Linked DNA regions of Drosophila melanogaster. The protein of the gene in region 2 interacts with the protein of the main gene of each other region in a biochemical or structural test. Each region holds a gene or a part of one and is shown on either strand. Other genes may lie near its edges.

Evidence for each region. The genes of interacting proteins can lie anywhere in the genome.
Region 1: the proteins of CG32767 (region 2) and Lpt form a complex in vitro, tested with the Drosophila melanogaster proteins (one study listed by BioGRID).

The regions. Positions count from the first base shown.
Region 1 is NT_033778.4:23,896,669-23,901,134, forward strand, and holds the start of Lpt (lost PHDs of trr), read left to right. Parts: upstream 1-1,892; 5' UTR 1,893-2,001; coding exon 2,002-2,596; intron 2,597-2,655; coding exon 2,656-2,778; intron 2,779-2,842; coding exon 2,843-3,012; intron 3,013-3,075; coding exon 3,076-3,266; intron 3,267-3,323; coding exon 3,324-4,466. Other genes in the region: CG17658 (uncharacterized protein), read left to right, coding at 1-31; CG5339 (uncharacterized protein), read right to left, coding at 450-989, 1,047-1,331, 1,387-1,479.
Region 2 is NC_004354.4:5,080,588-5,085,053, reverse strand, and holds the start of CG32767 (uncharacterized protein), read left to right. Parts: upstream 1-2,028; 5' UTR 2,029-2,637; intron 2,638-2,814; 5' UTR 2,815-3,568; intron 3,569-3,796; 5' UTR 3,797-3,873; intron 3,874-3,938; 5' UTR 3,939-3,980; coding exon 3,981-4,466.

The DNA of each region.
Region 1 (4,466 bases), on a different chromosome or scaffold from region 2:
TATTTTCACAAGCAAAAAAAAATGCCAATGACTACCAAAGACTATATAAGGCTTAGTTTAGTACACATAATACCTTCGACAATACTGACATTTGTTATTAAACAGCTGCTCGTCAAATACATATTCTAAGTTACCTGATTACTGCCACAAGTATCAAGTTAGATGCATTAAAACTACCCAAGACTGTAGAATAACTACAATTAGTTGATAATATCGAGAACAGTATTCAGTTTCGAACGCGGCTTTGAATGTCGCCCTTTAATTTAAACATGTTTGTTTATCCATTTACATTTTTGGTAATTCTTTAAGAATAAATTGTTTAACTAGTTGATAGCCTACATTTGTAATAAGTATAAATGCTCAGTTTCTCAATGCAGCCACTTAACTCTACGAGGAAAACGGTTACAATAACTTCAGAAGGGTTCTTTTTAGGATGTGGAAGCTTTGATCTAGAATGTCTTCTTGGAAATGACAACAATTAAATCGATTAACCAATAGAACGACTGGTGGAGATCACCCTCGCACAAGTACGGCGCCTTGGTCCATGCCTCCACGCGGTAGCCACAGTTCTCCAGCAGCTCCATAAACCTGGCCGCCTCCTCCTCGAACGACGCCTGTCGCCCGTTGTTCTCCAGCAGCGGGCGCAGCGGCAGATGCGAGGTATTCGTCTCCACGTAGTGCATGTAGGGAAGTACTAAGGCCACAACTGCTCGACCATTGGGAGCTAGTGCCAGGTGAATGTCCTCGAGCAGCTTGAATGAATCGAAGCAGCGGTCCAATACGTTGAGGCACAGAATCAATTCCAGGTTCTGCAGACCGTCTATCTCGGTGATTACGTTGAAGTTCAGCTTCTTCAGCCGATCGCGCATGGTCCAACTGGCCTCGGTGGCGAAGACCCGCAGCCCGGCACTTCCGCTCAGCTCGGAAACGGTGTTGGCCACGCGCAGCGAAATCTCACCGTCCCCGGCTCCGATATCCAGCAACGTGACCTACGATATGATGGCAGATGAGTAGTGGTCAAGACTAAAGGCTTTTACTCATCTTACAGGTTCTTGACCGCTGGCAGGCTGAAAGCCGCCTGCTACTAGCAGCTTGCGAAACTGTTCCTCGGACAGTATGAACATGGAGCCGCGCTTCAGGAACCCGTTGATGTCCGTCTGGGTCATGAAGAACTGCAGGATTGAGCGAGCCAGGGCGTGCCACAAGTGGGTCCAGATGTTTGCCGAAAGCGCCTTGGTGCGCTCCAGCCAGCTCACGGTGGTGGCATCCGGCTCGAGCGGCACGAACTTGGACTGGAATCTCGGCGGCAGCTCGTGGTTCAGGCAGTACCACTGAAATGCATCCAGAATTTAGGAAAAATCATATTGTTTCGGGATTTCGAGTTACCTTCCGAGTGTCTATGTCCTCCAGAGAGTTGTCGTTGTGGAATTTGGCGTGGATTACCCTGGCCAGGGTGCCGCGGGGACGATACACAGCCATGCTAACAGAATAGTCTATAATTGTGCTTTTATTTACATTTTCTACTTCTGTGTGTTTAACTTAGTTGTGCCATCATTTTTCCAGTTTGAAGAACTGGAGTACGGTATTTTTCCAGGGCTGGATTGCAGAGTTGCACTTTGATCAGCTGAATGCGATTGGTAAAGGTATATCGATATGTAGGCGTGACAGCCTAATGTAAGTGTATTATTATTTATAATGTATAATTTCAGAAATTAATTAATTAATTTGTAGCCGCATAAAAAAAATTAAAATATGATGTTATATTTGATTTGCCATTTAAAAGTATAAATACTTTGTAATATAAGGAAGACTTTTATATTTATATCTAATAATTGTACTACTCGCTCTGCAAACGAACGCACATCGTTCTCGACAACATTGACGCCTGTTCGATAACATTGGGGCGCGATGCACGTTGACATTTTATTTAGCTGTCGAGTAATGTATACAAAATAAGCGGCGGCTATTTTTTGTTATTTTAATGAAACGCATCAATCCGCGATGAGCACGAACGTTGTTGTGAGCATGGAGGAGAAGGCGGTGGCCGACGACCTGCCGTACTTCCCGGAGAAGTTTCCGGGCAAGGTGTGCTGTTTATGCAATCTCGGCGAGAAGAGTGCCTTGGGCCAGGGCGAGATTCTACAACTGAAGGCGCCCGCGCCCGCCGAGATCAAGGATAAATATCCGACGGATCGGCTGAGGGAGGACGGATCCAGGCTGTTATACGGGCCTAAGCAGGCCGCTTCTAGTTCGGGCGATTGTCACTACGAGCTGGACAAGATTGGACAGCCGGACGTCGTGCATCCCGCCGAATTTCTTGACGAGGGGTTCGTCTACGTGCACCGCATGTGCATCATGTGGTCGCTGCGCAAAAGTCAGATAAGCGATGCAGATGGCGCGTACTTTGCCACCCACTTCGCGGAGTTCCTGGAGCAAAAGTGCAACTTTTGTGGACGCTACGGGGCCTCCATCAACTGCAAGATGAACTGCCGCCAGGTGCACCATTGGCCGTGTGCCGCCGCTGCTGGGTGCCTTCTGATCCTCGAGAGCTTTACGGTCTTCTGCACGGAACATTTGAGCCAGGTGCCTGTGATATGTAAGTGATTCTTGGGCAGCAAACTCTCACAGAAACTAATGGAAACAAATGACTTACAGGCAGCGACAATAATGTGGAGTGTCTGTCCTGCTCCTCGCTGGGGGATCTGTCCAAGCTGATCATGTGTAGTACCTGCGGAGACCACTTTCATTCGACCTGCATTGGTCTGGCCAATTTGCCGGGTAACTACTGTCAAGTACCATCGTACCATTGGTTTACATGTTTACATGTTTAATGCTTCCATAGATACGCGTTCTGGGTGGAACTGCGCCCGTTGCACAAAATGCCAGATTTGCAGGCAGCAAGACTCGAACGACACCAAGTACGTTAAGTGTGAGCAATGCCAGAAGACTTACCACGCCTCCTGCTTGCGACCAGTTATCTCAGCCATCCCCAAATATGGCTGGAAGTGCAATGTAAGCAGATATTGACGGATATTAAGTGTTATCCAATACTTATGGTATTTATGTTCCTTCTAGCGCTGTCGCGTCTGTACGGATTGTGGTTCAAGAACTCCTGGCGGCGGCAGCTCCTCCCGCTGGCATAGCCACTACACAATCTGCGATTCGTGCTATCAGCAGCGGAACAAGGGCTTTTCCTGCCCGATTTGCCAGAAAGCGTACAGGGCAGCATCGCACAAGGAAATGGTCAAGTGCAGCTGGTGCAACAAGTACGTTTCACTCGCTTCTGCCTGATTAGTCTTGCTTATTATATGGATTCGTTTCAGATTTGTGCACAGTACGTGTGACGAAGAGGCGGATTTAACGGCCTACCACAAGAAGAAGGAGCAAAACCCAGATTACGACTACGTGTGTCCGAATTGCAAGAGTAATTCGTCGGGCCCGGGATCATCCCAACAGACAATCGACTCGATCGTGCTGTCCGCCATGGATTCGTCGTCGGAGCAACTGAGCCTCAAGGAAATCGAACTTGACCCGCTGGAGGGCAAACCCACAATGGATCCATCGAGCGATGAGCTCCACAAGCTACCCACCGGCAAGAAAAAAGTGTGCCTTACGAGTGTTCGCGGTAGAAGCGGAAAGTTCGTCCTACACCGCATGGGTGTGATGTCGCAGATCAACAAGAAACGCAGCACCCGAGGCAAGGGGCGCCAGCTTGCGCTGCCCACCATCTCGAGCGATCGCTGCCTGAGTCGCAGCATGGAAACAGATCTGACCAGCGACAAAAAGCTGCTGCTCTGCTCGGCGCGGGATAAGTTTATCCAAGCGCAAGACATCTGCGTAATGTGCGGCTCGCTGGGCATTGAGAGCGATTCCGTGATGATCACCTGCGCACAGTGCGGCCAATGCTATCATCCGTACTGCGCCGGCGTGAAGCCTTCGCGAGGCATCCTGCAGAAGGGTTGGCGATGCCTGGACTGCACAGTGTGCGAGGGATGTGGCAAGAAGAACGACGAGGCGCGCCTGCTCCTGTGCGACGAGTGCGACATTTCGTATCACATTTACTGTGTGAATCCTCCGCTGGAAACCGTGCCCACGGGCAACTGGAAGTGCTCGTTCTGTACACTGTGCCAGAAATGCGGTCGCAATCCCACCGAGAAGAGCGAGTTCGGGGACTCCAACATGCTCGAGTGCCCATCCTGCACCAGCCAATCCTCGTGTCCCGTCTGCAAAGTCTCGTACAGCAACGGCGAGATGATCATCCAGTGCGAGCACTGCGAGCTATGGGCGCACTTCCACTGCGACTCTGTCAATGCCCAGCTGACCATTGACCACTACGACAACAATGTGTACAAGTGTTTCAAGTGCCGCTGCTCGACGAGGAGCACTAACTCCCTGGCGGATGCCAAGTTTGGTAACGAGGATTCGCTGGCCATAACTCCCCAGGGCAGCAAACCATTTGTGCACAT
Region 2 (4,466 bases):
GCGAATTACTTTTACATTTTTGCCAACGTCAATTGTCAAGTTATTTAATTGTTCGAATAGACTGATTCAGGTTAATTGAAAAACGGCTATAAAACGGCGGCATTTCGTGTTTCTGTGTATAAAAAACCGGTAAAAATTCAAAAACCCAGTTTCAGTGTGCCCAGACATCAAGTAAGTATTTTAGTATTTTCAGTTTTAGTTTTAGGTTTTAAATATTTGGCAATTGCACCTCCTTTCGATGTATCGATGTACCTACAAAGTATCGATAGTGACTGTTGCCAGTATCGCTTTAGTTATTCCATCTCTAAGCATCAGGCTTTGGTCACATTACCAACCTTTCATAAAAAATAAAAAACAAAACAAAAAGGCGATAAAACGCAATTAAAGCAACTGTAAAAAACATAACAAACTAAAACCACTGATAAACTAAACCAACTGCATTGCACACACCCCGCAAACAAACGAAAATGTGATGTTAAGTGTGAGTAAAAACCGATGGAAAAGCGAAAGGAGTGTGCGTGTCGAGCATGTGCGAGTGTGTGTGTGTGCGTGCGCGTGAAGTGCGAATAATGTGTGATGGAGAGAGGGCAAGAGAGCGGCGCCAGCTAAAAAATATAAACAATTAAATAAATATGTAAATTTATATATATGGATGTATGGCATGGAAGTAGTTATCCACTAGTTACGAAAAGAGAAAAACAAAAGAACTAGTTCTCTTTTCTTTGAGTGTGCGTGTGTGGTTGTGTGGGGGAGAGGATTCCAGCTGCCTTTGTGTGTGAATTTCATTTAGTTTTTTTTTATCTGCTATTATTTTGTTGTGCGGATATTTTTTAACCCTTGTTAGCCCTTTATTTTGCTGATGTTTGCGTTAGTGTGTGTGTGTGTGCTTTCAACCCCCAAAAACTTCACCACCCGTCGCCGCCCGGCGAAAAATCACTGAGCAATAAAACCACCCACTACCCACCAAATGAAAAGACCAAAAAAAAAACGAAGCGAATTATTTCCCACTGAAAATTTTTTTCTTCCAAGGTGATGATGTTTTCTTCCTCTTGCTCCTCATCTTTCCAGGAGCAGCACTCGAAAAAAGGGAGAAGCAAGATGGAGAAGGAGAGTGAGTGAGTGAGAGAGAGCACAATTCAGAAACTGTCGAAATAAAACGGCTTCTCCACCTCTCACGCCTTTTGTCGCCCCCCGCTGCGGGCCCCATCGCACAGTGGGACGCGCAGACTAGGTGTTCTAACAAATTTCGAATTTTCACGCTCCAGTGAACTCATAGGCACTAAATTAATGTTTTAAATGTAATATTAATGAGTTTGTTGTTTTATTATCACCTATTTCGCTCCACTGTGCAACGTATGACGCGCTAGCGTCCCCTCTTTCGCTCTCGCGCAATTCGACCATTTTCCATCCTTCTCGCTCACGCCGACTGCCTTTTGGCGTATTTCTTTTGTGCCTATGTATTTCCGCTTGTTAGGTCAGCTCTCCCCCTGCTCCCCCGCCCAACAACGTCCTCTTTTTGTGCTCCCTTTTTGGGCTCCAAGTTCTGGCAGTCCTTTTAGGAACAGTTGTGGCCGAGAGAATAGGGAATTCGTTAAGACGGCCTTCTTTTGAAAGTAGATGCTCGCTTGTAGTATGATCTTAAAATGCGTGTACTAAGCCCCTATTAAATTAATAATAATAATTAAATGTTGTTTTTCATTTCTTATTTAAAAATAATCTGTTTAAGGAAAAATTAATAGATGTTGAGTAAGATGTACCTGATAATACTATTTCATTGACCCCTGCTGTATATTTTGGTTTTGTGTTGTGAGTGAGAACGAAGTTGTGTGGGTGTTTAAAAAGGGTAAGAAAGGCAAAAAAAAAGGCGAAACGGAGTAGGACAAGAACCAAAAAGAAAAACGAAATAAAAGTAACGTTGTTTTGTGTGCGGGCCAACCGAAAACCAATTAACTTTTTGAATATTGCACGAAATTGCGCGCCATCGCCCGTTCGTTTACCAACACTGACCGCCGAATGCAACCCTGCGCAACACTAACTCACACACACGAGCGTAGTAAGACCCAGGGAGGCAAAAATTCACACACAAGCAAATATTTTTTTGTTATTATTGAACAGTGTGGAAGAACAGCGCGAAAGGGAAAAACGAGCTTGCGGATGTGAAAAGTAAAGCGGGTGTGTGGAAAACGGCAACAACAAAAGGCGAACGGGGGAAAGCCAAAGAAAAACTACTCGCGGGGGAGCAAAAATCGGCTGGGAAACACGGACGAAGAAGAAGAAGAATAGGAATCAGAGTAGGAGAGCAAGCAGCAGCAGAAGAAGAAGAAGCAGCGCAGCCGCTAATTGTCTCGTCGTTCGTTGTTGTTGCTGCCTTGCAAAAAAAAAAACGAAACCGAAAAAGAAATGGCAAAAAAATAACGCAAACAAATTCAATAAAACGAACTAAACAATTAGCAAGTTAATAAACGCAACATAAAACCAAAGGAACGAACAGCAGTGGCAAAAGAAAAAGGCAAAAGAAGAACAATCGAAAAGGTCAAAAAGTGTGAGCAAGGGAGAGGAGAGACTTCCCCAAAAAAAACCGAAAGAAAAATGGAGCAAAAGTGAAAAACCTGTGAATGTGTGTGTGTGTGAGAGATGGTGAGAGAGAGAGTGGGGGGAAAAGCTAAAATTAATTTTTTGTTTTTATTTCCAAGGCGCGCACTGGTGTGTGTGTGTGAGTGTGGGTGGAAAATCGGATTTCGTAAAACGCATTTAATTGTTAACAGCAGCAAAAACGTGTATAATTTACCTGATTTTTCTACATCTCACTTACAGTTAGTAATCAAATTGCACAAAATGCGAAAGAGGAGAGCAGATCAATAATAATAATAATAACAAAAAGGAAAGGAGCAAATGTAACGACTTCTGTGTGTGTGTGTGCGTGCGTGAAGCAAACAACAAAAAACAGCGCAGAAACATTTTTAACTAAAATGTGGAAAGCAAGCAAGGAAACAACAAAAGCTAAAACAACAACGACAGCCAGGAGCAGCGCAGCCAGCAGCGACGTCGACGCCAGCGTCGCCGCATGGAAAGCACAGAAAACCGCATGACAAGGAAATGGAAAATTTTTGTGCAGCCCAAAAAACCAAATGTGAACATAAAGGAAAGGCCGACAGCGAGGCGTTGAGCAAACGAAAAACAAAACAAAATACAACAAAAATACAAGAACGTGTGTGTGTGTGCGTGTGTGTGTGTTTTCCAATCGTATAATCGAAGAATAATAGTAATAATAATACGAGTCAAGGAAGAAGCGGCATTCGAAAGAGAACAGAATAAACGGAGGAAGAAACAGATGTAATAACTAAAGCAGAAGAAGAAGCCCATCAGCAAATCTATGAGAAGAAGAAGAAGGCGAAGAGGAAGCGGCAACTTGAAAAATATACAACAATTATTAATTATGGCAGCTTCGACAAACAAAATTCTGTAGAAGAGGAAACAACAGACGCCCAAAGGCAAGATTTTTAAATAGGGAGTAGTAACATAAAAGAAAACTTTGGCAGCCAAAACGACAAGAAACAAACAAAAAATTGTAAGTAACAACAAGCCCTGCTTTTTCCAAACAAAAACTAGTTCGTTTCGATGAAATTATCACTTAATCACCAAAGTTTTGTATAGTTGTTCCTCTCAGTACTGAAAGCATTTCGCTTTCATCTAGTTTTATTTAATAACCCGTACTTTAAGACATCAGAAACTCGAATGGACTTAACTTGTTTGTTAGATTTTGTGGCAGAGTTCATAATATTGTTCTATTTCTCAGGCTAACAATATATTCAACATAGCTGGAGGTTTACGCCAAACACAGGCGTCGCATCCCCAACAGCTCAAGAGAAGAACGTAAGTTATTGCCCACCAGCCATGGCCGAATGTGAGTCTAATCCAAATGTTTGTACGATTTGCAGATACAAATAAGGGAAATATACATCAATTAGTATATCGCTGCCATGGCCAGCAGCGCGACGAACGTCGACGGCGGCAGCGGGACGTCGACGGCGCTGCCATCGCTCTTCCCCGCCGTTGGCGCCGCTGCCGGTGTCAAAGATATGGACGGATTAATGGCCATTAACGATAGCGCCCTATCGCAACAGATCGAATTTATACTGCAGGATGCTCCCATGGAGCAGGACGACGATCCTCACCAGCATACGCATGTGCATCACCATCATCACTCGCAGCATCATCCTCACTCGCATTCGCATCAGCAGCAACAGCAGCAGCATCTTCAGCAGCAACAGCAGCAGCAGCAACACCATCATCCGCATCATCATCTGAAGCTGGACAACAGCAGCAACAACCACCCACCGACCGCAGCAGCAGCCGCAGCTGCCGTAGCAGTAGCAGCAACAACTGCAGCAACAGCAGCCGCAGCAACCAACAACAGCGCTTCCTTTAGCAGCAACAGCAGCAGTAGCAATAGCAACAACAGCAAT